4 linked regions of the Caenorhabditis elegans genome follow. The protein of the gene in region 4 binds, or shares a complex with, the protein of the main gene of each other region. Each region holds a gene or a part of one and is shown on either strand. Other genes may lie near its edges.

Region 1 (5,298 bases), on a different chromosome or scaffold from region 4:
TAGTTTTCTAACTTTCAGGCCTCAGAAAAAAAGTTTTGCGCCGATCAATTTATGTACAGAATGAGAATAAGTTGGTGTGTGAAGGAAGGAGTTAGGGCAAAATTGAAAAAGAGTATCGGGGTAGAAACATGGAACCGCTGGGGAAAAGTGTGGAACAGGGGATTGAAATAATATCCGAACTAAAAAGCCGTGTGTGTGTGGAAAATTAAACGTGAAAAATTAACAGAAAAAAAACAAACGAAAAAGAAACTAGGCAAATTAAATTTACAGCGAGTGAATGTACACATATACTACTTCACAAAAAAGTTATAACAAGGAGTTTAACGGTAAAATTTTTTAAAATTAAATTATTTAAACAATTGAAACGGCGACACTGGGACATCATCATGGGAATTCACTTTTTCGCAACAAAAGTGTCCTCTTCGTCCTCGTCGAAAACCTCTTGGCCTCCGTAGTGGTCGTAGTCTTCATCGTCGCCGAAATCCTCATCCATTTCATCGTCGTATCCCGAGTATTTGCGAGAAGAGCATCCCGAGATTCCGCGAGAGCGTTGCTTCTTGAGAGCCTTGCTTTGGCCGGCAGTCTTTTGCTTCTTTACAATCTCGTCTTGCGCTGAAAATTTGAGATTTTTGATAAAAAAAACTGTTAGTGTTTTGGAGGACATTTTCCCTATCGCGCGGCTTTTCGCAAGCCACCGCACGCTTTTTTTTTCGAACGAAAAAGCGAGCTGACTTTTTTTTAAAATTATCATTCTTTATCGCATATTTTGGTCGTTTATCCCAGAGTATTGCGTTAATTAAAGTATTTTTTAAGCCGATAGAAGCTCATTTTGGTCATTTTTAAATTTAAATGCACATTAATCAACGAAATAATGTGAGATAAACTATCAGAATGTGCAAACAAGGATGATAAATCGAACAAAGTCAATTTCCGAGCTTTGCAACTCGGAAAAGTTGTCAAAATTGGCCGAAATTTTGAACTTTTCATCACGAATTTCTTTCATTTGAGCTTGAGCTCCAGCACCCACACTTGGAACGGGGGACGGTTGCGATCGTGCCGGCGCCTCCATTGCTTCCGATGACTAGATTTGGTGGAGTTGTGGAGACCTGATCCTTCGCGGCCGCAGCCGCCGCCTTCTTCATCGAAGTCAGCGAGCTCGAGTCGATCGCAAAGCCGATTGGATCTTTCTTGGCCATTTCCTTCTCCGCCTGAACTTCTGGATCACTGTCATAGTCATCGTCGCGTGTGAATGGCATTGGCATTGTTGGGGGTGTTCTAGAGAAAAATGGGTTAAATAGAACTGAAAATTAAAACAAAGGAGAAGCATAAAATGGCAAAAAAGAGCCACTTGGATAATTGGTATATAGGAAAACGGCATAAATTCATAAAACAGGAAAATAAATGTAAAGCATTATAAAACCCATTGAGGAGTATCATGTTGGTATATTATAAATTAGGTGTGATATGGTGGACGAGTGTTCTGGTGTCCGTATTCTTTGAGAATTTCATCGAGAAGTTCCTCTGTGAGCGTGTATTTTGTGTCTTTCGTTCCTTTTTTCGTCTGTCCGAGACCTTTCATACGAGCCTGAAATTGTTCTTGTAAAAAAACTTGGATTTTCTTTTGCAAATTCTAAACCATACACTTGTCATCGCGTCAAGAATAATATCCGAAACATGTTTTTGAGCCGCCAGCGAGATCATTCTAGTCACTCGCGGATCCGATCCATCAACACCGGCAGACTTCAAGAAGTGCAATGTTACAGAATCGGGAATCGTCGGCGGATAGTCGGCGAGCTGATTGATGAACTCGTGTGTGTCGTCTTGCGATGGATTTTTCTGAACATTTTCCAGCGTTTTCTGCACAAATTGTTGCTGATTTCCGGTGAGAGGCTTGTGCAACGACGATCTGAAATTATTTGTTAATAATTTTTGTCTTGTCATAATGTCATTAACCCTGAACAAAAACAAACCTTAAATTTTGAACAGATGGCTCAAGAGTGGAGTAAACTTGTGGAGCTGCTGCTGGCCGCTGAAAATACTTTAAATCGGTTAATTTTAATCAATTAAATCGATAAAAAACCTGTGGAAGTGCGGGTGGAGGCATCAGGACGCTTTCTGTCGACGAAGAAGGCTCATATTGCTCTGGATCATTCATTTTTGCTGAAATTCGGGAAATTTTTGAATTTTTTTTAGGTTGAAAGATAATTTAAAGCGAGTATTTCGTTGAAAAGTTATTACTAATTTGTTTAAACATATCTTTACAATAAAAATTCGTATTTAAAAGCTCAAAAAGTTCCCCCAAAAACCAATGGCAGCGGCACGAGGGTTTAAACTTTAAAAAAGTCTCGTGGTGCGGCGCTCCGCCCACTTGCAATGTGCGGCGCGCGTTTTCGTAATGCGTGCGCACACAATTTTGGTGAACGCTTTCGTGGCCCTTTTCTGGTAATAAGAGGGCTAAATCAAACAGAATTGGGCGAACGCACGTTGAAAATTTTGATTAAAATTAATTCTTCAATTAATTTAGTTTTAAAAATTAAAGTTTAAAAAGTTTTTACTATTTAATTCCCGGTAATCATCGTTAATTCAAATGTTTCTAGACAACTTTAGCGGTTCAAAAATCAGAACATGAATATTTCATCAAATTCGTAAAGTAGCTGTAATACGCTCCCAAATTAATATTTCAGGGAAATTTTAGAAAAAAAGTCTGTATTATAGGGGCAGAGAGAAACTGTCCAAAAACGCTCCGCCCCCGAACCCGCGGGTCTCGTTAGGTATTCGGCGGCAAAACCGTAAATTCAAATTTTTTTGATTAGTTGCGTAAATTTCGCTAATTTTCAAGCATTTGCCGTTATTTTCAATGAATTATAATGTAAAAATTGATTTTAAAAAAAGCAAATGGTCAATTTCACGTGAATTTTCAAACATCGTTAATGTTTTGGCAGAAAATTCTTTAAAAACAACGAAAAATGCTTCAAAATTGCCAAAATCCCGAAAATAGTTGAAAAAGTTTGAAAAAACCGCTAAATACCTAACGAGACCCATGGTTCAGGGGCGGGGCGTTTTAAATTGGCCGTGGAGCGCGTTATCTCTTGTGATTTTCAGCGACCCAAAACTTTAGGTCTATACCACTCTGGCAGCGTATATCTCGGTTCATTTGGAAAGAATCAAAAAATTATTAACTAGAAAATTTTAGATTTTTAATTGATTAGAATTTTGATTTTTAGTGTACTTTCAATCAGGGGTGGGCGGCAAATTGTCGGTTTGCCGATTTGCCGGAAATGTTTGGTTCCGGCAATTTGCCAGCTTGCCGATTTGCCGGAAATTTTCATTTTTTGGCAAAGCGACCATTTGCCGTTTGCCGGATACCCATTTGGCGGAAGTGTTGAGAGGGATCTATTTTTAAATCGGCAAACCGGAAATTTTTGCAGATTTGCCGAATTTTCAAGAAAAACCACAATTTGCCGAAAATTTTCGGCAATTGCCGTTTTTCAGCAAATTCGGAAAATCGGCAATTTGCCGATTTGCCGGACATTTTTGAATCCGGCAATTTGCCGATTTGCGGGACATTTTCAAATCCGGGAATTTGCCGATTTGCCGGACATTTTCGATTCCGGGCATTTGCCGATTTGCCGGTCATTTTCAAATAAGACAATTTGCCGATTTGCCGGGCATTTTCAAATACGGCAATTTGCCGATTTGCCGGACATTTTCGAATCCGGCAATTTGCCGATTTGCCGGAAAAATCTTTTGCCGCCCATCCCTGCTTTCAATGCAAATTATCAATTTTCGAAAAAAAAATTCAAAATAAAAGTGCAGTGACGTCAAACAATTCTCTTGCAACTATAATTATATTTCGAGAATTGGTGCAAAAGCTGTCATTTTCATGATTCTGCGATCTAGCAGGACTATAAGTATACTTGCGTCATGCCTCAGCTCTGCAAATTGGTGTCAGGCTGTCCCATTATACTTTGATCTACAAAAAATGCGGGAACATTTCTCCCAAAAAAAAATTTGACGACAGCACGTTCTTAATCGTGCGAAATCAGTTGAGATCTCCGTGTCTTGACTCCCGCATTTTTTGTAGATCTACATAGATCAAACAGAAATGAGACAATCTGTCACAACGTGCAATTAGGGAAAAAAAGGAACTCTGATGTCTAACACAAAATCACTTTATTCAAAATTAAAACTGGAAAATTAGTATCATGAAGGATGAGATTATCATATCTGCAAGAGTATCTGAGTCGAGATGGACGTGTGGGAATTAATCATTGGGATAAACCGGGTCAAGTCTTTCTGCAGGAATTTCTAATTTTCAGCATCCATCTGTGCATCCGTATCGATCTGTAAACAAATCACATTGTTCCAGTCTTTCACATTCTATAAACGCACTAGTTTATCCCACATTCCCTGATAGTCATTTTGAGGAAGACTACGGTACATGCGACGTGGAAGAAGACGAGATCCACCGATCCGAGACCTGGAATATTGTGGTGAACGGACGTTGGGCAACGGCTTAAACCATGCGGCGCTGCGATCGATGCGTGATTGGGCTGATGTGACATCTGAAAAGTGGAGTTTTGAATTGGGACATTGTTTGGCGTTTAGAGCTTTGATTTCATTTTAGAGAGCCAACTTTGGCTAAGTACACCCAGTTCCCGATATTATTATTATTACATAGACGTCTTAACATGAGACTTTCCCCCATATCTTACTCCCTTGGGTCTCGCCACGCAGACTATGCATTACTGTATCTGGTGTTGATTTTTGGGCCGCTATTGTTTTATTTTCTTCAAACTGATATGGTTCTCAGGTTTCGACGCGAGCGAAAAGTTTTGCACAAAATTTTAGACTTAGGCTTAGGATTAGGCTCGGGCTTAGGCTTAGGCTCAGGCTTAGGCTTAGATTTAGACTCAGATCTAAACTTAGGCTTAGGCTTCTGCTTAGGCTTATGCTTATCCCCCAAAGTTTAGGCCTAGGCTTAGGATTAGGCTTAGGCTTAGGCTTTGACTTAGGCTTAGGCTCAGGCTTAGGGTGTGCGCTTTTATGGATTACTATCGCTTGCCACATTCTGCGATTTTGCGTGTTTTTTCTATTATATGTGGATTATAATCGGAGTGTAAGTAAAATATATTTTAGGACGCTACAGTACTCATTAAAGGCGCACACTCTTGTGTGCCAAATAATTTGGTGTCGAGACCTGTTACTGTATCACTTAAAGTCGCATTCTCTTTTCCAAACAGTTCCGATCATTTCTCAGATCGCAATTTCCGAAAAAAAACTCACCGAAAGTAGCGA
Region 2 (6,727 bases), on a different chromosome or scaffold from region 4:
AGCTGTTGCCAAACTAGGTAGAACTCAAGTATAACACGATATCCAATTGGAGGTATATCAGAAAGATCTTTCAATTTTTCCACGTGTTCATGTGCCAAGTGTAGTGCCCATAAGGACTTTGACACAGCATTTGGTATATTCAGACCACATGATAATTTTTGGCGAGCGAGTTCTTCTGATATGAACGAGGATGTGTTATAATCTGAAAATAGCTTGAAAATTTTCTGTTCTTTTGAAACTTGAGAAAATCCAAATTCAAAAATAATGAGTGGTTTTTTTCAGTCCTTCTGATTTTTTGGTGCCAGGTTTCTTCAGGATGCCTACAATTTTTGACGATTTGCTACAGTTACGACTTTTAGTTGATTTTTTGTGAAAAATTCAAAAATAGATTTATTTTGATCCTCATCCCTAGAGGAATCCTATCTCATTATTGCAAAACCGCCTAACCTAAAATCAATGCGTCGTGGAAGGGGTAGAGAATCGAACCAAACCGTCGATTCCCACTAGACGAAGCCCTCATCCACCCAACCATCGCCGCCGACTCGTTTCGCTGTCGTTGGCTCCACATAGCACGAGAAGTTCTCCAGTTTCAACACACTTTTCGCATGCATGTGCTTGCTTTTTCCCCCGTTTTTTTTTCGTTTCGTCTTTGCTTTTTTCTCTTCGTTTTCCTTATTCTCCAGAGCACATGCACACACGAAGTAACACAACAGAGACAGAGGCTCCGGGCGCCGAGCGCCGAGCCCATACACCGACCGGCGCCTGGAGAGCACAGAGAAGCCAGCCTGTTGCACTTCTTTTTTGCAGCTTCTGGCTCACAGAGCACATCGAACCTTATACTATTATTTCTACTGTACGATTTTTGAATTAAAAAAAATAAGTTTTGTAATTGAATTTTTTTTCCAAACTTCTATCTCGTTTTAATATTTTTAGGGTGTTAAAATATTCATTCTTACCAGAATATCCAACATGATTACTGGCAAGAACATGAGTCACAAGTGATTCCACGAATTCCCAAATGTTGTCCTGATACTCAGAAGTGATCTGAAAAAATTGAATTCATTCGGATACTATGAATCTTTATATTTTCAAAAAACTGTTTGCGCAAAAGTGAGCGATCTTATAACCATGTGTTTTTTTTTTGTATTTTGACGAAAAATTAGTTTTTGGAAAAAAATCCAAAAAAAACTATTCTACATTTTTCGCGGATATTCTTTAGCAACATGTGATGTTTATGGTTCTAGTGTTGTTTTTTTTAATTTGAAACTTTGAGACCCGAAGAACTCGGGGGATGTCCAATTGGGGGGATTAGCAACTCGGGGGATTGGCCCCGCCCACAGAACCGTGGCTTGCAATACGCCCATTTCTGCAACTGCCGCACGGTTTTAAAACTGTATTTTTCTCAATAGAGCGAGAATTAACAAGAAAAATAATTTTAAAACCGTGCGGCAGTTGCAAAAATGGGCGTATTGCAAGCCACGGTTCTGTGGGCGGGGCCAATCCCCCGAGTTGGTAATCCCCCCAGTTGGACATCCCTCGAGTTCTTCGGGTCTCGAAACTTTTGCTCAAGTTTTTGAGTTGTTACGGATTCAAAATAAATTAAAATCGACTTTCTTTCTGGTTTTCTTGTGTTTTCACTAATTTCAATTTCTCTTTCGGAGTTTTTTCACTAAACCTTTAAAATTTCAGTTTGTTTGTTTTTTTTAAATTTTCCTAGTCTTTTGGCAAAAAAATTTTGGAGAAATTCTACTAAATTCGAAACTTAATTACTTTTTTAAAAACAGAATTGACAGTGAGATCGAAATCCGAGTTTTGTCGGGTTAAGAAATATTCTTTTATATCTGAAAATGTAGAAACCAATGAAATACCTTTTCAATATCTTTTTCATTTACTAATCCAGCAATTGATGCAATAATATCAGCTGGAATCATCTAAAACGATAAATTTCAATCTGAAATGTTATAAATTTGAAATATGAATAAATATATTACAGAAATTATCAGAAATTCAATTTCGTAGATTGAACAACAACTATTTTAATACTTTATTCTCAATAATACGGGAGAAATTTGAAAAACAAGAGGAAAGTTGAAAAGAACATTGATAATGTCACTTCTTCAAAAAAAAATAACATCAACAAAATTATACAAGGTACGGGGAGAAATGGTGAGCAGTAATTAATCGAAAGCTTATTGAATTCGAAACGATTTTATCGGATTGGTAGACTGAAGAAAGTGGTTCTAAAGTGCATAGATGTCTAAAATGAAGCTACTTTACCTGTATTATACGAGATCCGGGTTTAGGGATAAGGGAAGGCTTAAAATGAAACAAAAATTTGAAAATAAAGAAGAATGAAAACAATTTTAATAAAAGAAAGTTATTTTTTGAATCCCTTCAAGATTGGATAAATCTGCCCGAATGCTTCGTCAATGTCCCTCTTTGTTTTTGCTCCAGTGATAACAACCTGAAAATTTAACATAGAAAAGGTTATTTCATAACTTAAACTCACTTTTCCAGACACAAAAATAAGGAGCACAACTCTTGGTTTGACCATACGATAAATTAATCCAGGGAACAATTCTGGTTCGTAAGTACTGAACTGAGAGTGAGTAATGCACAATCCTTCAAGTTGAATCGGAAAACGAACATCACAAGAACCAACCATGTTTTGAACCTACAAAAAAATTATTCAAATGATTTTGTGACCTTTTTCCAGAAACACTTACCATAAATTCGGTAAATTTCGCCTGAAATCCCAACTTTTGAACAATTCTCGCATATTTTCGTGCTGCCAATCGACTTGCTTCTTCTGACTTCGCACCAGTGCACACCATTTTTCCACTCGAAAAAATTAAAGCAGTTGTTCTTGGTTCACGAATTCTCATAATGACTGCTGCGAAACGTTTTGGATTGTATTCGGCGTTTCTCGCGTGCAATGCAATCTTCTTCAAATCCAATTGAACTCCCAAATTGACTGTAGAGACAATGTTCTGAAGAGCTGGCATCGGAATATCCAATTGACTTGCTGGAGTTGCTGGAACCATTGTGGCAGCGATGTTACTTGCCGGAGCCTGATGTGTCAGAGCATCTCGATCATATACAGAATATGCAAGTGGTGTCATTGGAACTGTCAAATTCTGATATGCAACTGATGGAGGATTGATGTCCAAATTGTGATGCATAACTGATCCAGGATTACGATCAGGTCCGACTGAAGCTGGATTTATGTTCAAGTTGAGATTGGAGTTGGCGAGATGTGAATGCATTTGCATTGAAGAACCTTGAAGGCCTGAAATAATATAAATCTTTAATTTTGACAAACGGCTTTAAGACTGAAAAAAGGTTATAAAGTTGAAAGACTGGTCACGGCTAAAATAAACGTGCACAGAGAGTTCATCAGATTTTTTCATAAATTTTTTAAACTGTACAATATTAAAATTTCGAAAAAAAAACGTATTAATTTCGCTTAAATCTGAAATTTCGCTAACTTTTCCTTGTCGCATCAGTTAGGATACAGTTTTTTTTAATTAGTGTATTTTATTGAACAATTTATAATTTTATAATTTAGTTGTTTATCTCGCTTCACATCGTCGATTCAGTCCCATTTATGATCGACATGCCAATTATGTTCATTTTTAGACGCCTAACGACATAAAAATTTGCCGAAATTAACGAAAAACTAACAAAATATTCTATAAAGGGTGATAATTCAAAAAATCTGTAATTCAGCTGCTGTGATAGAAGTCTCGGGATTCAGCAAAATTCTGATTTCTTGTTAATTTACTTTTTGTCATGCCATAAAAAATAGTGAAAATTTTATGAGCAGTCTCTTTAAAAAAAATTAGTTAATTTTGGGCTAGTTTTATCCTTTTCAAGCAAAAACCCTGAAATGAGTTTTCCACAAATAACTTACTGTGCATTTGTTGTGATTGCATTGGTTGAATTGATTGTGGATTGAGAACACTTCCAGGTCCAAGAATCGAGTTTGGTCCCATTACAGAGTTGGGACCGTGTCCCGTGAGAATTGATGAGGGTCCTTGACCTCCAAGTACGGAATTCGGTCCACCATGTGCAGGGGTGTCACCGCCAAGCATTGATACAGCTGGGCTGTTAAGGTTCATTGTGAACTGTAAAAATATTTTTAATCAAAAAAAGAAAAATGGATAAGAAATTGGAACAAGATATTTAATTTAAATATGATTTCAGTGAATAAAACACTGGAATAATTATTTTAAAAGAAAAACAACAGTACTATTTTGAAAATTTAAAATATAAAAACGAGAAAACGGAAAAACAACAACAAAAGTGGAACAACAATAACTGTAACAAAAAATCTGATTAAATTTTCCATAAAGTTGGAACATCGATGATTGGAACTTGTCTATCAAGAATTCCTTTCGGCGCTTCAGAGTTCACACCGACTGCTCTTGTGACTTTTTCTTCGTGTTTTGGAGCGAATTTCCCACCAAATCCTTTTCTACGAGCTTTCTTCGGTTCCGGCTTTCCTGTTCCCTCTTCGTCTTCATCCCCGTCTTGCAGTTTTCGATATTTTTCAGCTTCTCCATCCTCTCCGCCAAATGATTTTGCCATGTTTACAGAGAATAACTCGTCGGTGCATCGGAATCGAACGTAAGACTCAATTTTTTGAATCGATTTATCAACGAAATGAGCTCGTTTTCTGACACTTTGATTCCAGTGACATTGAAGAAGTTTCATCTCCCAAAGACTTGATTCCAATGCGCGAGTTTTGTGTAAATCTGTCTCATCATTGTCGAAAGGATCATCGTAAAGAGTCTGAGGAACCTCACGATGAACCAATTCAGAACAGTTTGGATGTCTAATCACAAGATTTCTAATTAATCCAAGAATTGGTTCCTGAGCATCAATTGGAGCAAGAAGAAGGCATCGGGAGAGTCGTTTGAGGAACGAAGCAGTGATGTATGTTGGGAGATGGCTGAAAAGGTATGATTCAGAATAAATTTTCTAGAATATTGCAACTCACGTAGACGACAGGAAACTATCCAGAAGTGTCAGAATGGATTCTTTCTGACTCATATAGAGAAGAGATGGGTTCGTCAATGAATATACTTTGTCGTAGAATTTCGGATATTCACTGAAATAAAGATTTATATGAATCTATTTCAAATAAAATCTCTTACAAGTTATGTTCTGAAATAAGACGAAAAATAGCACCAAGCGAAAGAATTCCATGATAGTCAGTTTTGTCGAACATTTTGAAAAAGAAATCAGCAGATTTGAATGGTGCTTTCAATTTCGAAATGACGTTCTGAGTGATATATGGAATAAGTTTCAGTGTCAACTTGTCACTAATTTTTCCATTCATAACAGCCATCCAAACGTTGTCATAGTCAGTTGAGATCCATGTCAGCTTTCGTTTTTTCATACTTTTATCGTTGAATGGAGTTCTGACACAAAACTGGCGAAATAATGGTTTCGTCACTCGATCAGTTGGGTGCGGGACGAATGAAAGAAAATTGAACAGGTTGAACCAGGCGGTGGTGCGAGTTTCTTTTAGGTGCTGAAAATGTGTGATTCGTATAAACAAATACAGATATTTTAACTCACCGTTATAGACTTCACAAGCTCCGGGGAGATTAAGTGGAAAATATCATATCTTCCAAAAATTTTAGCGATTCCTCTGAGAACTGGACGCTGAATTCGCTTCGTGCCAAACAAGTATTGAATGAAACCGGTTACAGTAAACTTTAGTGATTTTGTAGAAACAATATCTCCAGTTTTTGCGTCTTTTTCGAAAAACTTTATCGTTTTAAAGTATTTTATGATGTCATCCGGATATTCGCATTCTTGCAAAAATTTAGTGAATTCTGCAACAGACTTGCTTTTGGGTTCTTCCCTCTCCAACTCATAATTGACATCGACATTGTCAGGCGCTTCATCTTCTGAGCCATCATCCGAAAAATCAGCCTGAAAAGGTTTTGGTAAGATTTACATGAGATTTTGCTATTTCTTACATTCTGCTCCGCATCATCATGGAAAAATTGGTCCAAATCGTCGTCCATTGCCCTGAAATTATTTGATTAGCGACGATTGCTATAAAAATCAGAAAATTTAGACATTTTTGAGAAAAAAAAACGAAAAAGTATGAATCCTTGTGAAATGTCGTCAGGTGTCATGTTTGCGTACAAAGTAATGCTCGGTGTTCACGTACAATCGAATACCGTAGTTTATTGTTTTCGCTTCGGCGCGCCAAAAATAATGCAACACTTTTCCCAATTTTTCTTCTAGAATCGATACGAATCTGATGATAATTATCGAAATCTTTTCGTTATTTCTGTTTAAATTATAAATAATCATATTCAATCTCTGGTAATGAGTATATTGAATTCATGAATTCATATTGCAAGAAACCAGAACAAATTTCACCGAAAAGAGGGTTTATTTTCGTAATTAGTTTCGCTCGGAAAATCGATATTTTCTTTCAGTGTCGCTACATTCTGCTGGAGTATACTTTCTGAAGTCTCTTCTTTCGATTTCTTCCCTCTCTCTCTCGTTAACTAGACTTATTGACAAACAATTTTCAGAATGGCTGAGCTCCAATTCCCGGGAGTTTATGTTGAAGATGTAGGTCATTTGGCGTTCGGAACACTTAAATTGACTGAAAAATCACTCAACTTCAAAGGCGATAAGGGTGGAAAATCAGTTAATGTCACGGGATCCGATATCGATAAACTGAAATGGCAAAAAC
Region 3 (10,434 bases), 7.5 Mb from region 4:
GTGCCAAGCTGTCCCATTACGGTTTGGTCTACAAAAAAAGGCGGGATTTTTTCGCCTTAAAATAATGTGACGTCAGCACGTTCTTAACCATGCGAAATCAGTTGAGAACTCTGAGTCTCTTCTCCCGCATTTTTTGTAGATCTACGTAGATCAAGCCGAAATAAGACACTTTGACACACAAAAATAGCTTACTATTTTGTCCATTTTTCTTCTTTTCGGTATGAAAAACAAAATTTGTTGGAATTTTTAAACTGTTTGTTAATATTCTAAAAATTATAAAAAAACAATTTTTCGACAGTCTTTTTGAAAAATATCTAAAAATTTTTTAATATTTTAACGGATTTATTGTTTAAATTTTGAGTCAAAAATTACGGTATCCCCGGGGTCTCGCCACGAAAGTTAAATGCGTAAAAGGTGTGCGCCTTTGAAGAGAGTACTGTACTTTCAAACTTTCGTTGCCACGGTTTTTATTAAAATATGTTTTTTATCGTATTATTCGAGTTTATTCGAAAAAAAACTTTTTGTTTGAAATTACAGTACTCAAAAAAATTTTAAAAATTTGTCGTGTCGAGACCCCGGGTATTGTATTTTTGGCGCCAAAACTTCAAAAAAACAAAATTCGGTGTTTGCGTACTTTCGAGGATACCGTACCCCTCGAAATTTCAAATTCGAGCAAGAAACTTCTAGTTTTCGGTTTTCCGACTGAAATTTTGCGAGGAATTCGAACTTTGAATTGAAACTATGAAATTTTGCTTTCATAAAAGAGTTTTCAGCTCGAAATTAGAAATTTTTCCAGCGCGCCATCCACCTTCGCCAACGTAGAAATCTGGAAATCGCCGGTGCCGACGGTGTCTATCAGCGAATAATCGATGAGCTTCCACTTCCACCGACGCTCAAAGACTATGTTCGATTGGTGCAACACGAGGTTGTGCTCAAGTAGAGAAAAAAATACCGAAATTTCAGTGTTTTTGAGAAATTTTGAAAAAAAAATTGCCTAATTTTCTGAATTGTAACTCATTTTTCTCGATTTTTCCTGTATTTTTAATATCTAATTCTGGTTTTTTTGCACTTTGCCAATTTTTTGTTGTTGAATTTTTTCTGAAAAATCTGAAATTTTTGGCTGAAAAGCTGAAAAAGAAGCTTTTTTTTATGTCTAGCATTTCGTTTAAAAATGAGAAATAATTATTATTTGACTGGAAAAAAGTGATTGTTTTAATTTGTGGAAAAATAAAATTAAATTTAAAAAAAGAAAACGAGAAAAGCAGAATTTTCGCTCCTTTTTCCATGAGATTTCTTTAGTTCAGATAGTTGTATCGACTGCCGGACCACCGTATGACATCTTTTCACGGATGAATGTTCTGGAAAAAAAATGAGTTTTTTTAGGAGAAAATTGGATAACTTTTCAAAATTTTTTTAAATCGTATAAAAATTGATTTTTATTGGAATTTTTTAAAATTAAAATATTAAAAACTACCATTCGTTTGAAAGTTTTTTGAAAAATTTTTAAATCAGTTTTTTCCAATAAAAATCAATGTTTAATACGGTGTTTTTTAAAAAAATTTTTTAAACAAAAAAAATCGCTACCCTGTGAATCGGCTATCCTGATTGACTAAAAGATGTAGATCACGAGTTGTTACACGTACTGTTCGTGGACGAGGTGCTGTCGTTGCGGCGCCCGTGTTTTCCCATCTGAAATTTAAATTTTCAATGTAAAAAAGCGGTATTTTGGTAGAAACTAGCTCGTTTTATCAACAAAAACAAATTGTAAAAAATGAATTTTTTGAAATTGGTTTTCGAAATTTATTTTAAATTGAACCGAAATTAGTTTATCAACTGGAAATTGCAAAAAAATGCACATTTAATAATTTTCCAACAATTTTCAGTAAAAATTTCAAAAAATTTCTTCAAAAAGTGAATTTAGTGGAAGCAATTTAAAAAAAAAGAAAATTATTGGAAAATGTTGTTTTTTTCAACAAAAAAGTGTATTTGTCTAATTTTTTAGAAATTATTTTTTCCCTAATTTTGGAAAAAAATGAATTAATTTTTAATCAAGTTTTAAAAAAACCTTTTTTTTCGAAAAGAGAATTTCTAAATTAAAAAAAAACTAATTTTCAACAAATGACAGTTTCATTACTGGAAGGAGCTGCAAATTTTTTATTTTCATATAAATTTTTATTTCTATATAAATTTTTTCGAAATGTGAAATAAATTTCAAATTTCTCCAAAGAAATTTAGTTTATTCCTGGAAATTATTGGAAAATGTGGTTTTTTTTTCAAAGTCACTAGAAATTTAAATTTTTTTTTAAAATACGTTTTTTTGCCGAAAAGATGTTCATTTGTTTTTCGTTCATTTTTTTCTGTGATTATAAGTCACTGAAATTCAAAAATTATAGTTCTAAAAAATTCTAAAAATTATTTAAAAATCGATTTTTTTTTTCAAAAATTTTTCTCAAAACGTAAAAAATTAATTTTTTGTAAGTGTTCAGCTTTTCTCTAACAATAAATCCAAATTTCGAAAATTTCTTTTTTTTTCTATTTCTTTCGAATTTTTAGTATTTTTAAAGCAAATTTTGTTCAAATTGATTGTATCTTGATTTTAGGCTTAAAATACCGAATAGTTCAACGAAATTTCTGGAAAAATTAATTTTTTGTTGCTTTTTTTCCAGATTTTAAAATTTTTTTCAATTTTTTCAGTGATTTTAGTAATTTTTTTAAACTTCTACAAAAAAATATATATAAAAACCAATTAATGTCGAAAATATTCTTATTTTTTAAACATTTTTCCTTTCAGCTTCTATTTTCACTTTTTCGTAATTTTTTTTGCGAATTTCGCACTAAAAACGAATTTATTCTTGAAAGTTTTATTACTGGAAAGTACTGTTTTTTTTTTTAAATTAAGAACCACAAGAAATTGATTTTATCTAAATTTTAGGGTTAAAATCTTGATCGTTTTAACGAAATTTCTGGAAAAAAACTTTTTTTTCGCTATTTTTCTGAATTTTCTATTTTTTTCATTTTTTTTCAGTGATTTTAAATAGTAATTTTTTAATTGAAAATTTTTATTCTAAAAATTTTTTTTTGTGAAATACAAATTCGAAAAAAACGAAATTTTTTTCCATTTTTTAGAAATTAGTTATTGATTTATTTTATTTTTTCATCGATTTTGCAGCATTGTAAAACAATTTTTTCTGAATAATTTTTTTTTGCTTATTTCTAAATCCAAATCTCAGAAACAAAGGTGTCGGTTTTTCAGTTTTTTAATCGAAAAACGAAACTTTCATTTTTCGAATTTTTGAAAACCGAAAAATCGAAAAATGACACCCTTGGTCAGGAAATTGTTTTTTTTAAATCTATTTTTTAAAAATAATTTTTCTGCAAATTTCACGCTAAAAACGAACTTATTCTTGACAGTTTTATTACTGGAAAGTGCTGCAATTGCAGCCGCATTCGCATCTCGATTCCTTTTCGCTTCAGCATCTTGTCGTTGCATTTCTTTCGCTTTTTCAATCGTCTCTTTTCCACTATTCTTATTCTTGCTCATTCGAATTAGCGACTCTTTTTCTCGACTTTCCCTTAATTCTTCCTCTTGACGATCCAAATCTTCAAGGAATCGAAGTTGCCGTTTGACGTCATCAATTGCCACGTAGTTCTCCGGAATTCTGGAATCTTTTGTAGTGTTTAGGATGGAAAATTCGGATTTTTCACAAAAAATTGTTAGGAAAAAAGCCATTTTTTTATGCTTGCTTCGTGTCGATTTACGGCAGCTCTCCATTTTTTAAAAAAATTTATTCGTGCTTTTTTAAGTTTTTTTTTTTTTTTTTTGCGCGTTTCTTTTATTTTGTCGCTTTTTTGTCAGTTTTTTTTCTGAAATTTTTAAAATATTTTTTTTATATCTCAAAACTCCCGGAATTTTATATTTTTACGTCAGATCTCGACGAACACAGGAGTTTTGACCTAAAAAATTTTCAAATTGACACAAAACAAAATTTCAGGAAAAAAAATGACAAAAAATCGACGAAGATCAAGGAAACTCGTTGAAAAACTGAAAAAAAAAGCTTAAAAGAAATTTAAAAATGAAGAGCTCCCGTAAATCGACACGAAGCAAGTGCGCCCCAATGAGAATTTATCTGGGCGCGCATTTGAAAAATCTCATGGTGTGCATGCACAAAGCGATTTCAAGCTGAAATATAAAGGGAAATTTTTTTTTTGAATTTTTTCGAATAGATATTCGGAATCAGGGGAAAATTGGAGATATTTTTGAAAATATTTCTCAGATTTTTATATTTTTTTGAAAAAAAATTACCGCGTTTCAGCAATGTTTTTTGTTTGGATTTTAAAACAAAATCTAGATGTTTTTTTAATAAATAGTTCGGAACCTTTGAAATTTAAAAATCTTTTTTTTTAATGTAAAATTGTTTTTAAGACGATTTTTCTTCAATAATTTCCTTATTTTTGCTTAATTTTTTTTTCGCTGCCGTATTTTGAAGCAAAATCAATTCTCCTCAATACCTCAAACTCTCCACCCGATGTTCTGCAACTCCGGCCATCAGTGTAATAAGTTCCCTTAAATGCGACTCAACAGCATCTGAAATCGCGACAAGCGCCTCCTCTTCCACCGAACACGATGACATCATTCGTTTCGTGATCCTATTCAGCACCTCATCCGGCTTCAGAATCGACGATTTCAGCGATCCTTCAGGATATTGCCTCGTGGCCGTGGCCGCCGCGGTAGGCTGTAAATTCTCTTCCACCTCCATTTCTACAGGGGGAGCCGGGTGCTGCTGTTGAATCTGCTGTGGTGGGGGAGGAGGATGCATCTGGACCATCTGATGTCCCATCGGCCCTCGTACGGGGCCTTGTAGGCCCATTGGGCTTGGGCCGCCGGGGCCCATAGGCCTGATCATTGGCCGGGCGCCTACAGATACCATATGGGGACCCCCTTGAACCATTTGTGGGGGTATTTGATTCGGATTCGGAATTTGACGCATTTCTAGTGGTGGCTGCTGCTGGGATTGTTGTTGAGGTGGAGGTGGCTGAGGGGGTCCTGGGGTTCTTCCATTGTTGAAAACGTAGCCAGGCGGTGGATTTACGCCTTCAACTGATGCAGTGCCTGGAAATTTGAAAATTAGGGAAAATAGTCCAAAATTGAGGAAAAAAAAAGATTTTTAATCTAGAAAATAGGTAAAAATCCTCATAAATTGCCTGGAAATGCGCCTCAAAATCGAATTTTTGAGCTGAATGTTGAGAAAATCTATAAACATTTTAAAAACTTTAAATTGCAATTTTTCAGCTGAAAATAGCCCTGAATTATGAAAATTGCGTGAAAATTGCGAGAAAATTTGCGGAAATAGCTCTAAATAAAGGGAAGTTTTTAAATAATTGTTTTGCTCAATTTCGTGGAACTCGGATAAATTACCAAAATATACTCCGGAAAAATTGAAAAAGTGCGATAAACTTGATAATTTTTGCTTTCAAAAATAGAATTTTAAAGAAATTTACTGGAAATAGACAAAAAATGTGGAAATTTTAAATTTTAAGCTAAAAAAATTGGTGAAAATCTTAATAAATTGCCTGGAAATGCGCTTGAAAATCGAATTTTTGAGCTGAAATTTGAGAAAATCTATAAAAATTTTAAAAACTTTAAATTACAATTTTTCAGCTGAAAATAGCCCTAAATTATGAAAATGGGTGAAAATCCTTATAAATTGGCTGAAAATCAGGAATTTGCTCAAAATTGTGAGAAAAATTGCGGAAAATCCATATATTACTGACAGCTGAAAATATTTTTAAATAAAGGGAAATTTTTAATTTTTTTTGCTCAATTTTGTGGAACTCGGATATATTATGACAATATACTCCGGAAAATGGAATTTCAAAGCCGAAAAATTGAAAAAATCACCAAAAACAGCTTGAAATTGTTAGAAACTTGATAATTTTCGCTATCAAAAATGGAATTTTAAAGAAATTGACTAGAAATAGCCAAAAAATTTGGAAATTTTGAATTTTTTTCATGGAATTTCTACACAATTTCTTGAAAAATGTAATTCAACGGATTTTTTGCAATTTTTTATGTTAAATTCAAGTTTTTCGCTGCTTTTCAACTCAAATTTTCCTGTTTTTCGATGATTTTTTTTTTGTCGATTTTAATTTTTTTGCACATAAAACCGAACCATTTCGAACAGCATTCCTCAATGCCGGAAGAGTATTCTGAAGGAATGGTAAAAGATGCGGTTGAGCCTGAGATTTGAGCACTTGTTGCAGATTTCGTGTAAACTCTTCAGCCGTCGTTTCCAGATAAATTACGCCCTGAAATATCCGAATTTGTCCGGTTTTTATCGCGTTTTTCGCTCAATTCCTCACTCGAATTAGCTCTTTGACACGGGCGGCCTTGTCCGGCATTTCTGGATCATCGTTATTCGACAGATTAATTAAAGTTTTCAGAAAGCGGACGCATTTTGTCACGTTTTTGTCATCTGAAGCAGCGGCGGCCGCCGCTGCAGAGTTTTGTGGAGTCCCGGGCGGCCCTTGTGGAGCCATTGGCGATGGTGACTGAAAATGCTGCATCTGCTGTTGTATAGGTTGACGAGGCGGCTGCATTTGATGGTTTTGAGCCTCTGAAAATTGGGATTCAAATTTTTTTTCTAACTTTTTTAAATTTTTAAATATTTACGGGGTGCTTCCACGGGTTCCGGAGCCATTTGATGAGCATCTTGGTAGTCGACTTCCTGCTTTATTTGCGGAGGGGCCTGGAATCAAAGGAATAAATTATTGTTAGTTCTTTTTGTTGTTGTAGAAATTTTGAAATAAAAAAAAACAATTACCGGCTCTGGTGTGCTGACTCCTGGCGTTGATCGCTCGCCGATCGCCTTTCCCTGAACGAGTCGAAATCTGGGAAGACTCATGTGTGCTGAAAATGATATTTCTCTCTCAGAAATGTGACAAGGTTTTGAGTTTTCGTGTCGATAATTTCGACGCCATAAAAGAAGAGTTCATACAAAATCGATAATTCCCAGGGTTCAACAGTGTGTTTCCTTGCTATTCCTCCCCACTTTCTTTTGTTTTATTCACATTTTCACATTAAATAGCTAAATTTCCGCAAAATTAGCGGAAAACCCCCTCCGCAACACAGTTTCATTTGAAAATTTACCGGAAAATAGCGGAAAATGGTCGCCTTTTATACTGCCAAGAGTGACCGTACTTTCGGTCGTGGCGAGACCCATGCCGCATGTTTGGAGGGGTGCGTTGCGGCTCGCGTCGCGGTCGCCCGCATTTTCAACTGCGGGAATTTGCGAGATTTGAACGCGATTCTAGTCTAGCTTGCGGTGATTTTTCAATTTTTTAATGATTTTTCAGCGTAAGAACTTTTGAGTTTAGTGGAAATATTGATTTTTGTGATATCACACTCTGAAATACCCAAATTTTCAGTCAATGTATTGTTACATTTCGAAATTTTTATTCAATCTAGTAACAAGCCTACACTTTATCATCGCTAAATAGGATTCTCCATTGTATAGCAGTTCATTCGAATTCCATTTCAAAATTATTGTAAAATGTAGGGGTTTTCTTCTCTAGAATATCCTCCAAAGTTCAACGTGATGTATTGCTGAAATATTTCTTCATCCTAACATGTTCGTTAGAGTCTTCTGTGCGAGGCTTTTCTTTTGATAATGTTTTTTTGATCTGGAAGGTTCCATATTTCGTTCTTTTCCTACTTTTGTCATCTATTTGACCTTCCTTTCATTCAACCTTCCTTTGATAGTTGTATTCTCGTGATTCTCATTCCATTCTTGCGTTCACATGACTGACCCTTTTTATTTATAATTTGTTTTCAGAATGGGTATTAAAGGCGACAAAAAAGCTACCAGCGATCAAGCGCGACTTGCACGACTCACACTGGAAGGAAATTCCGGAAATGAGGAGGACATACAGTTTATGATCAAGACGGTAAGTCTCCAAGCTGGAAATGACGCTTTCCTGAAAATAGTGATCTTTGCATCACGCGAACGCTCGCCACACACCGACATGATGACGCACGTGACTTTGTTGTTTTGAACTTCTCTAGTGTCCGCTTTCAGTGTCAATAGGAATTTCGAATCGATAAGACGGGGCCAGATGGCAAATAAAAGGACAAAAGCAGGTGTCCGCGCTTGAGATGGTGCAGCGAGAGTAAGAGTACCCAGATGTCCTACTCATTTGGGCTAATTAAAGTGTTCGCGCATTCCCAAGAGGGGTTTTTTCACTGCTCATGTCTTTTTCATTTTCAGATTATCGAAACCACCGGATGTACACAAGCACAAGCTGAGATAGCGCTATTGGATACTGACAACAATCTTTACGGCGCAATCGATCACATTCTGGATGCTGGAGATAAACTTGACTCGTGGACTGAACAGAAAGGAGCCAAAAAGGAAAAGAAGAAGCCGGAAGAGGGCAGTTATAACAACAGAGGATTTGTAGCAAGAGGCAGAGGTTCGTGCTTGATTGAAATAGATCAAATATTGATATGTTTTTTTCAGGTGGAGGCACCGGTTTCGTCGATCGAGGAGGCCGCGGGCGATCCAATGGAGCTCCAAGAGAAAGCCGAGATAATAATCGGGATAACCGTGATAATAAGGAAGGAGCAGCACCACGCTCGACTCGAGGAGGATTTGAAAAACCGTATGTTGGACGAGGTGGAAGAGGTGGCGCCAGAGGTGGATATTCTCGAGCTGTTGCTCCATCATCAGCACTTGAGCCAGATGCGTTCACTGCTGATCTTGATGAGGTAAGAATTTTTTGAAGAAGGAAAATGACGAAACGTGTTTTTTTTTCAGAATCAGACTAAAGTGGATACCACAGTCACCGAAGTTCAACCACCAGTAGAGGAATCCGTCACCGCCACTGTTCCCACATCTTCTGCGCCGGCACCGATCTCATTTGCTGCAGTAGCAGCAGCTGCCCATCGCAAAGAAGCACTCCGAAAGCACCAGGCACAGAATCCTCAACCAGCAGCTCCGCCAAGGAGGAGTCTCTCCCCACAACCTCCACTTCCGTCAGTTGCACCAGTTAAAGAAGAGCCAGCAGCAGCGCCAGTATTTTTCGAGCCAGAAACTTCGCATCAGCCGGAGAAAGAAGATGGTTTCTTCCAAAAGTAAGTTGTTCTGTCCCTGTATTTAGATTATTAAAAATTTAATTTTCAGTGAATCATCAGTTTTGGCTGAGGAGCAGACGCCTAATGTGTCGACTCATCACGATGAAAATGTACAAAGCACCCCAGAACCAAATCAAGCATGGACCACTCAACTGAAGACGGATCTTGGAATAGGATTGAGTGAAGCACCAGGACTAGGATTATCTCCAATTCCAAGTGCAGCACCAGTCCAGATTATTCCTGATCCTGGAGTGGAATTTGTTGGCACAACTGCACCAACGAACATTCATGACTACTCATTTGGATTTGTTGAGGCTGCTCCAAGCCCACAGCTTCCTTCTACTGAATCCTCCGCTGCCTCGATCTCAAATGCCAGTGAAAATATATTTAACTCTTCTCGTATTATGCCGAAACAAGTTGAGGTGAGTTAAATTTGTTGCAAAGACGATTTATTCTAATTCTCGATTATTTTTCAGCCAGAAAGGACGTCAATTCCTAACGGCGATTACAACTTAAAATCGACTTCACCTCCATTGTCATATGGTCAATCTAACAGAGGATTGTCCTATGACACTTCGTCCGCTTCATATCAACCAACGGACAGGATGGCGCCGAACAAGTTCAACAATTCTGGACCACTTCCAACACAGCAATCTGCTCAGCAGCACCAGCCACAGCAGCAGCAGCAACAAGCCCCACAACAGCCAGTGCAGCAGCAGCAACAAACTCCACCAGCTCAATCACAACCGACTGGACATCCACAACAGCATCCACATATGATGTTCACTCAACAACTCCCATATGCACCATACATGAACAACTACATGAACATGTACAATCCAATGCCAGGAGTTCGAGATGAGCAATATACTGCTGCTCTTATGCAATACGGAATGGGAGTTGATCTTACAAGCTTGCTTCCAACTGCTCCTCTGTCACAGGCTGCTTCTGCGCAACAAGTGCAATCTGGTCAACAACGAGAGACTCATGGACTTATGGACTTCAATAAGTTCGGATCTCAAAGCTCTCGGGATCAGCAGCCACAGCAGGCGTCGAATGTTGGACCACCACCAGGGTTCCAGGCGACGAACTACATGCAGCAGCCAAACTTGTCGTCGTTGTTCATGCAGCAGTACTCACCTGCTCCACACCAGTTTACTCCATTCATGAACATGATGCCCAATGTTGGAAGCAGCGCTGGAGGTCGTCAACTCTACGGACAGGATGACGAGCGCAAGAGTTACGACAAGATGTCTGGATCGAAGCCGGCAGCTCAGCAGAATCAACATTCTCAATACCAACAC
Region 4 (8,404 bases):
TTTCAGTTCTTTTTTCATACTCTCGTGCTCCATTTCAAAGTGCTCCAATTCCTCAGATTCATTTCATTTAGATGTATATTCTTTATTAATCGCTCCTTTATTTTCCCCTGTAATATTGTACATTTGATTGTGTATTTAACTCGGTTCATCGAAATTTTTTATATTAAAACAACTGCAAGAAAAGAAAAAATAAAACAATAAATAAGAATAAACTATCAGGATTTGGAAGATATTAAGTTTTGTGCATGATGTGTTGTCAATTGCAGTGTTGTCTCTTCCTGCGTTATGCTACCTTTAATTTTTTTGTTTTTATGAAAACAGTGATTTTAAATTTTAAACTTACTCACAGTAGCTCTTTTCGAGTCGTTTCAATTCTGCACATACCGCCTGTAATTTTTTGTGACTTTTATTTATCTATTTTGAGTCCACTAAATAGTTTTTAGAGAGAAATTGACAAATTTATAAACAACGTAGAAGTACGTGATTTGAATCACCTAAAAACGTCCAAAAAGTTCAAAAAATAGCAAGCTTCGCTTTTTGGATATTTTCATGCATTCTTACTAATTTAATTTAGGCGGAGTCGTGCCAGTGGTGATTTTATTTTAAAGGAATATGTAGTTACCACTTTTTGAAATTCGCACTCAAAATTTCAGCCTTCTCTCATAGATTTTTAACATTTCATGTTATATATGATCTCTTAGATTAATGTTTGTCAAATTGTGAAACACTTCTCCACACGGAAAACAGCGAAAGAATGTGTAAATTCATCAATTGTCAAAAATCTATCGATTTCATTTCGAACATTTTTTTATTTGGGAAGTGTTTTTCAGCAAAAAGAAAAATATATGATAAAAACGCCGAAAATCTATGAGAGATAGCCCCAATTAGACCTGAACTCGGTCTTTTGCTGATTTGAAGTGCAAATTTCAAGAAAAAAACTACTCTTCATTTAAAAATTACCTGAATATCACTGTCCACTTGTTTCTTCAGTTGCATCGCTGTTGCCAGTAGTTGAACATTATTCTCTGCTGACGAAATAGCCGTCTCATATTGCCCATTGACACGTTTCAAATTGAAAAGCTTTACATTCCAATAGAACATTTGAACATCATTCAGTTTGACAAGTTCATCATTTGCCGTAAATAACTGACAACCAAGATCAAACTTTCTAATGACAGCGTTAATTGTATTGAATGTCCATGCTTCTGTTACTGTCATTTTGTGAGATCCCATCGTGAATTTTCGTGTGATGTCACGTGGAATATCCGATGGGAACTTGCTCAGTAGTTTCAGCTGGACCATATGGACAGCCACATAACGTTCTTTATTACGTGTCACTGCGGGAAGCTTCAGACCATCTATGGTAACCCAATCCCAAGATGATAGAGAGGAAATTAGATTTTCAGTTCCGTCAGATGTACTACTAGATGTACGAAGACGTTGAGGAGGTGGTGACAGGTTTTTGTTGCTCTGAAATTCAAGAATCTAGCTTTCTAGGTTTCTAGACGCAAAGCTTCAATTTTTCAGTATCGACAAAACATTTTCTATTAAAAAAAAACCTACATCAGTTCTCCTTGTAGAAGTTGAATTATTCATCTGCTGCTCATTTCCAACTGCTCCATTCTGTTTCTCCGGCGTAGAGCAATCAGATTTGATCACTTCAACATCAATTTCAGGACTATGGGCTCTTGGCGTCGCATCAGTGTCCTTTTTCTCAGCACTCTTTAAAGACGAGGTTGTAGTAGTGTCCATAATGTGTAGAAACACAAGCAATGCTCGTCTTCTTCTTCTCTGTCTTCCACTCCCCCATTCATTTTCTGTGTGCATCTGTCTCTCCAGTCTATCGATCCTTACACGGAGCGTGTTCGCCTCTGCGTCTCGCTTGGGCTTCAACTGCTTCTCGGCGTCCCTCTGAATTTTATATGCATTCGACAACGTTTGTGTGTGTGTGAAATCGTCATTCTAGGACAACAATTCGTATTTTCGTTGCATTAGATATTAAAAATTAAAACGGCTGAATTCAAAATGGGTAAGTATTTCTAATTAACTATTTCCCTAGTTTTACTTTACGTTTTTTCATCATTCTAGAAAGTTATCACTGTAGCAATCGACTCCGTTATCAGATACATAGAAATGATAAGATAGCAAACAAAATATTGTTGATTGCACAATTGAATACATTCGAATATTTATTAATCGTTGTATTGAAATCAGTTGGAATGAAAATGTTAAATTTACACTACAAACTACAAGCGATAACATTTTACTGTATATTTAGTGTTCTTAGTTAGTTGCCAAAGTGATATCAAGGGAGATATCATAATTATTTAAGATTGGGTACCTTCATTTAAAGAAACTGAGTAGAGTTCTTTTGGAGTACAGGACCCAAACACCGTTTTTTTTTCATAGATAATTAACTTTTAACTCCTACAAAAAGGTCTGACAGAAATTCCGAAGGTAGGCATGCCTACGTAGGTTAGTTGCAATCTCGCTCTGCTGCACCATGTCGGCAACAAGTTCGTAGTGACGTTTGAATTAATTCTTCTTCGCTCTTTTATTCTACTTATAAATTCTGCAATTGGCCACATATTTGAAAAAAAAAACACCATTTTGAACTCAATTATTTTTCTAACAAATGTCGGTTTAAATTCAAAAAAATATATCAAATTTGATATTTTGACAGTATTTTCTCATAATAATATATTTTCCAGAGAATGAACTTGATGGATAGCGAGAATTCGAGTAGTCATTCGATAAGTTCTCCACAAATGTTTCAAAACACGCACAACAATTCAGCAATGGAGGATAATTTGCTTTCTCGGCCAATGAACAATGAATCACTTCAAATGATTATTGGATACTTACGACGAAATGGTTTAACAGAAACTGAAGAGCTTTTGACTCGAGAAGCTGGACCAGTACTTAGAGTTGAAGGATCTAATGGATTACCTCCAGAGTAAGTTTTTTTTTTCAATTTAAAAATGTATCTAGAAATTAATATTTTAAAAGGTTGGAGCATTGCTAGACTCAAAATGACCCCACAAAATTGTTTTAAATTTCTCAAAAAAAAGCTAACCAGTTGATTAAGATGCTTTTTCAGTAGATGTGCACACAGTAATTTCAAAATAAAATTTTTTCCAAATGTTGTGCATCCATCGACTGAAAAGATCACTTTTACCGAAAAAATCAATTTTGTAATTTTCTGCCGAATATAGACTTTTCCCCTAAACTCAAAACCGGTATTTAAATAAATTTGGGAAATTTACAAGACGTATTAATAATACATTCGGTTTTCGGTATCATTTTAAGTCTAATGAATCTACTCAAATTTCGCCACTTCATCTTAGAAATAATTTTTTTTAATAGCAAAATAGACAAAATTTGAATTTTTCAAAGCCCAATGTCTTAAAAACCAAAAGTTTCAGAGAAGCGATATCCGTTGAATTCGACACATTTGTCCAGCACGCAAACGATTGTACAGATGTTGTTCAAGCGGAATTCAGTCAACTTTTATTTCCTATATTTGCACACAGCTATATAGCTTTAATTGAAAAGCATGCCGCAACTGCCCGTATATTCTTCAATCGATTCAAGATTTTCATTCCTGAATGTTTCTCGGAATTTGTATATCAATTATCACTAATCGAAGATGCAATGACGTTACGAGCCAATGAACATGTTCACATTTTACGAGAAAATAAATTTCTTGTTCGACTTTCGAGGCCAACACTGAAACATCTTGAATCAATTCAAACGAGAGTGATTGGTGTTAAGAATATAATTGCAAAACATATTTGTATTGAAAGTAAGTATTCATTTTTATATACAAAAAAAATATAATAATATCCGTTAAAGATGCTGACGAAGTATCCACAAATCGAACGACAATAGAAACCCAAATGGGTGGAATTCTTGGAGTAACTTCGAAAAGTGATAAAAGACATAAAATGATGTTTTCGGTGTTAAAAGACGAATTGATGCAGAATATTGAAAAACGGAAGACAAAAGGAAAAGATTGGAAAGATATGGGAAAGAAAATGCAGACGGTAAGATTTTTAAACAATTTTTTTGAATTTTTTTGTACTGACAAGGAAAGATTTTCATCTTACCCTGAAATTTTAAAAATGTTTATCAAATTTTGTTTATGTTAATGAAAAAAAACATAAGAACATATATAATTGTTTTCTAAAAAAGAGAAAAAAATTGTCAATATTTTAAGCTAATTTTCAAAAAATCAAAAACAAAATCATTAGATTTTTCGATTTCCCAAAAACCGAAAAACGTAATATTTTCGTTATTGTTTTTTGTGAAAAATCGAAAAATGAACACCTTTGCTGATAACATATCGCTGTAACATTTTAATCGGCATGTTATGTTGAAAAATCTAATTTTAAAACAGTTGATTTTTTTCTGAATAAATTTCCAAAAATAATGTTTGGCTACACCTAAACTCTTTTGAAGTCTTCAAAAATATTCAAAAGTATCTTTTGGAGCAACTCTAATGGCCTGAAAATAATGCAAAAATACACTGAAAAATACAGTCAAAATTTAAATGGTTGAGGGTGTAGCTGTGACGATTAAAATTTTTTAGTGTGTTTTTTGAGTCCCTCTCCCTTTGTTCTGTAATTTTCATAGTTCTTTGTATATATCTTGTTATTTCCAGCATTGCCCACAAGCTGACCGAATTCCTCTTCCACCAATCAGCGAACATCTTCGAGAGGAACGACGAAATTGGCTTCGAGACGTCGGAAAAATGGCCATCATTTCAGCTGAATCACCCGTTTCCATTTGTATGTACACAACAGTAAATGCACCAATTGGAGTGGCTTCATGTGATTTTACGGATGATTCAAGTCTTATTGCAATGGGTTTATCTGATTCTTCAATTGTTATGAATGCAATGGATCCGATGAATAAGATGAAGAAGCTTCGTGATATGGAATTTCTTGATAAAATCGATATTGAAACTGCGGATAACGTGCAATCACAAATGTTTGATTTACAAGGATCAACGACAAGTGTGAGGTATACAGGCCACGGTGGTCCCGTGTTTTCTGTCAATTTTTCACCGGATCGACGACTTCTTATATCATCTGCCGGAGATCGAACAGTTCGACTTTGGAGTATGGAGACTCAGAGGAATGCTGTTATTTATAGAACACCAGCAGTAGTTTGGCAGGTTTGTATTTATATAATTTTAACTAGCATTTTAACTGAGATATTTAGTGTCGTTGGTAATCTTATTTCAAATAATAGATCATTATCCGAAATTATCGAATTTAACTAATAAAAAAACTGTCTCATAAAGTTTCAGCGCAACGTTCTACATTATCTAATCTGAAAACTATTACAGGCTCAATTCTGTAGTCGTGGATACTATTTCGCTACAGCAAGTGCCGATAAAACAGCTGCAATGTGGTCGACAGATCGAATGCATCCACTTAGAATATTCGCTGATCCATATGGAGACGTTGGATGTATTGATTATCATCCAAATTGTAATTATATTGCTGGAGGATCAGATGATAGATATGTTCGAGTATGGGATGTTTGTTCTGGTACTCGAGTTCGCATTTTTAGTGGTCATAAAGCTTCGATTATCGCTGTCAAGTTCTCCCCATGTGGTCGGTATATCGTCTCGTTAGATGCTATTGGAAATCTGATGATTTGGGATTTGGCATACCAGAGATTAGTTGCAGCTGAAATTACGGAACAAGCTGGAACGAAGGTAGTGAAATATAAAAATGATAATATCATATTACTAGTTCATTTCAGGGTTCAATTACATTCTCTCGTGATGGTGGTGTATTTGCGGTATCCCATGGAAATTCAAGTATTCAATTATATTCACTTGATACTCTTATTGGAACAGTTCTCGCCGCTGGACAAAATGATTCCTACATTGAGCCAAAGTAAGTTTTAATTAGGAACAAAATACTTGGAGAAATATACAGGTACAAATATTATGAAAACGCAGAAAAATCCCCTTACGAGAAAGAAGAAAGTATAAATTTTATTCATCAAATTAGCCATAACATTTTTTTAAACCACTTAAAAACAGGACAAATGCTTGAAGATCGGAGAAATCGGCAATACTAAAAACTTTCGAATTTACGGTTTTGTCGCCAAATACCTAATGAGACCTATGGCTTGGGGGCGGGGCGTATTTATTCGGCAGTGGAGCGCGTTTCCACTTCAGAATGTCTTTTCTAAGTCCTCATAATATATAGTTTCTCGAAAACTCCTACAAGCTTTTTTCAATCAATTTTTACAAAATTTCAGAGTGAATCTGGACGGTTTCAATATAGGATCATATGCAACAAAAGAAACTGCAGTAATCGGACTCCATTTCACTCGTCGAAATCTTCTTCTTGGATTTGGTTGCTTCGGGCAATAACTGTCATCTTGCCTGCTATTATTTGAACATTTTATCTTTAAAATACATTATCTCAAAATCTGGTCTTTAACGTGATCCTCTCATTCATATTAAATCTCTTTTTCACTGGTGGAATAAAACCTTTTAACAAATTTTAAATTTATTTTAAAATCCCTTTGGCTTTATTTTGGAATTATGTGTTCATTCCGACACTGCAAATATTTTATTACATTTTTTTCTCTTTTTTAAAAATAAGGTTATTTTATTTTCAGATGACGTCGTTCGTCGAAGGGTTGACCAGCCCTGAAATGGAAATTGCTGAGGGCGGAGTCATCTTGGATAATAGGACGTAGGTTTTTTTGTTAACTTAAGACTAATAAAAATACTTATTTTTTAAAAAATTTCAACAGTTACATTTTAGGTATAACTGTACGTAACATTTTTCGAATATATCTACTTTCAGACGATTCGCTGACCTAAAAGCCATGCTGGATAGTAATAAAGATAACCTAAAAGTTGATGCAATGAAACGAATAATTAACGTGAGATTTTATTTCCAATAAATTATAATTATCTAAACTTGAAATTTCAGCTGATAGCGAAAGGAAAAGATGTCAGTGAACTATTTGCTGCAGTTGTGAAGAACGTAGCAGCAAAAAATGTGGAGCTGAAAAAGTTGGTATTTGTTTATCTTGTACGATATGCCGAAGAACAACAAGATCTTGCACTTCTCTCGATATCAACTTTCCAACGGGCTCTCAAAGATCCGAATCAACTGATTCGTGGAAGTGCTCTCCGAGTTTTAACATCAATCCGTGTTCCGATGGTCGCACCAATCATGCTTTTAGCCATCAAAGATGCAGTACGTGATATGAGTCCATACGTGAGGAAAGTTGCTGCACATGCCATACCAAAACTATACTCACTGGAACCTGAACTCGAACCTCAGCTTGTCGATTGCATAGATTTTCTTCTCGCTGATCGAAGAAGTTTAGTACTCGGTAGTGCTGTTTACGCATTTGATGAGATCTGTCCACACCGACTCGATCTTCTTCATAAACACTTCAGAGCATTATGTCGTGGTTTGGCAGATGTCGACGAATGGGGTCAAATTGTGATGATCAACATGTTGACTAGATATGCAAGACATGAATTGGCGGATCCAGATAGAGGACCACCCGATACGGATGTTGTACTTCTTCTCAACTCAGCTCGTCCTCTACTTCAATCAAGAAATTGTTCAGTTGTCATGGCAGTCGTACAATTATTTTATCATGTTGCGCCGAAAGCTCAACTCTCTCAGGTAAGTCAAGCGGAAAAAAATATGGCTTCAGAAATTTCAACTGAAAAGTTAGTAAAGTAAAAATAAAAACTCTTATTTCCAGATCGCCCGTGCACTTGTCCGACTTCTACGTGGTCCACGGGAGACCCAATACGTAGTTCTCACCAACATTGCAACAATATGCGAACGAAATCCGGTAGAGGAAGGAACTTACGCCATCTCAAAAGTGCGCTGAACGCAACTGAGAAAATAGCATGAAAAGCATGTAAAGACTGAGACAAATCTAGAAGAAACTGTTATACATTTATCAGTTTTTGAATTAATTTCACAAAATGATAAATTTGTGATAGCAGTGGTTAGCGTCTCAGTCTTAGAGTCACTTTCCCCGTTTTTGTGTTGTCTTAATCTGGATTGTCTGAAATTCTTTTAAAATGAGATATCTAGCTTTTTGAACGATATTGTTGCTCAATTGAAGTGCACTGTGATGTTTTTGCTCATAAGTAAATACATAGAATTCTTGGTTTTGACAAATGAGACAATCCAGATATTTTTACCAGTGAATTGGAGTGCTGCTTGGTTGTGTTTCAGTGTACTTGTCTTTTGATGGAACTTTTACATATCAAAAATCAATTTTTTTCACTCTCAGACGATGTTCGACCCGTTCCTAAAATCATTCTTCGTACGATCCTGTGACAGTTCTCTCGTTAAGAAACTAAAACTTCATGTGCTCACAAGTTTGGTTTCAG

Evidence for each region.
Region 1: taf-5 (region 4) and taf-10 share a complex: the UniProt entries of both Caenorhabditis elegans proteins name them as parts of the TFIID basal transcription factor complex.
Region 2: taf-5 (region 4) and tbp-1 share a complex: the UniProt entries of both Caenorhabditis elegans proteins name them as parts of the TFIID basal transcription factor complex.
Region 3: taf-5 (region 4) and taf-4 share a complex: the UniProt entries of both Caenorhabditis elegans proteins name them as parts of the TFIID basal transcription factor complex.

The regions. Positions count from the first base shown.
Region 1 is NC_003283.11:4,683,971-4,689,268, reverse strand, and holds taf-10 (Transcription initiation factor TFIID subunit 10), read right to left. Parts: upstream 2,167-5,298; 5' UTR 2,156-2,166; coding exon 2,081-2,155; intron 2,039-2,080; coding exon 1,971-2,038; intron 1,907-1,970; coding exon 1,642-1,906; intron 1,586-1,641; coding exon 1,454-1,585; 3' UTR 1,370-1,453; downstream 1-1,369. Other genes in the region: K03B4.2 (HUN domain-containing protein), read right to left, coding at 395-612, 1,028-1,262; nssp-51 (Neuropeptide-Like Protein), read right to left, coding at 4,309-4,344, 4,393-4,565, 5,287-5,298. UniProt on the Caenorhabditis elegans protein: The TFIID basal transcription factor complex plays a major role in the initiation of RNA polymerase II (Pol II)-dependent transcription.
Region 2 is NC_003281.10:7,381,433-7,388,159, reverse strand, and holds tbp-1 (TATA-box-binding protein), read right to left. Parts: upstream 4,128-6,727; 5' UTR 4,122-4,127; coding exon 3,914-4,121; intron 3,290-3,913; coding exon 2,727-3,289; intron 2,675-2,726; coding exon 2,510-2,674; intron 2,465-2,509; coding exon 2,378-2,464; 3' UTR 2,036-2,377; downstream 1-2,035. Other genes in the region: Tetratricopeptide repeat-containing protein trd-1, read right to left, coding at 1-202, 957-1,044, 1,869-1,931; T20B12.3 (nucleolar complex associated 4), read right to left, coding at 4,339-4,954, 5,003-5,113, 5,160-5,539, 5,587-5,946, 5,994-6,041; hmg-4 (FACT complex subunit SSRP1-A), read left to right, coding at 6,565-6,727. UniProt on the Caenorhabditis elegans protein: The TFIID basal transcription factor complex plays a major role in the initiation of RNA polymerase II (Pol II)-dependent transcription.
Region 3 is NC_003279.8:379,301-389,734, reverse strand, and holds taf-4 (Transcription initiation factor TFIID subunit 4), read right to left. Parts: upstream 6,910-10,434; 5' UTR 6,903-6,909; coding exon 6,822-6,902; intron 6,747-6,821; coding exon 6,671-6,746; intron 6,615-6,670; coding exon 6,361-6,614; intron 6,307-6,360; coding exon 6,171-6,306; intron 5,111-6,170; coding exon 4,510-5,110; intron 3,660-4,509; coding exon 3,399-3,659; intron 1,690-3,398; coding exon 1,585-1,689; intron 1,359-1,584; coding exon 1,301-1,358; 3' UTR 1,171-1,300; downstream 1-1,170. Other genes in the region: R119.5 (Protein-L-isoaspartate O-methyltransferase domain-containing protein 1), read left to right, coding at 797-940; Prion-like (glutamine/asparagine-rich) domain bearing protein pqn-59, read left to right, coding at 7,834-7,944, 8,265-8,469, 8,517-8,764, 8,814-9,130, 9,180-9,552, 9,607-10,434. UniProt on the Caenorhabditis elegans protein: The TFIID basal transcription factor complex plays a major role in the initiation of RNA polymerase II (Pol II)-dependent transcription.
Region 4 is NC_003279.8:7,847,102-7,855,505, forward strand, and holds taf-5 (Transcription initiation factor TFIID subunit 5), read left to right. Parts: upstream 1-2,711; 5' UTR 2,712-2,723; coding exon 2,724-2,956; intron 2,957-3,425; coding exon 3,426-3,805; intron 3,806-3,855; coding exon 3,856-4,046; intron 4,047-4,663; coding exon 4,664-5,179; intron 5,180-5,353; coding exon 5,354-5,728; intron 5,729-5,775; coding exon 5,776-5,912; intron 5,913-6,282; coding exon 6,283-6,397; 3' UTR 6,398-6,535; downstream 6,536-8,404. Other genes in the region: F30F8.5 (MATH domain-containing protein), read right to left, coding at 216-292, 348-387, 961-1,470, 1,564-1,752; apb-3 (AP-3 complex subunit beta), read left to right, coding at 6,649-6,725, 6,840-6,918, 6,969-7,679, 7,762-7,884, 8,305-8,404. UniProt on the Caenorhabditis elegans protein: The TFIID basal transcription factor complex plays a major role in the initiation of RNA polymerase II (Pol II)-dependent transcription.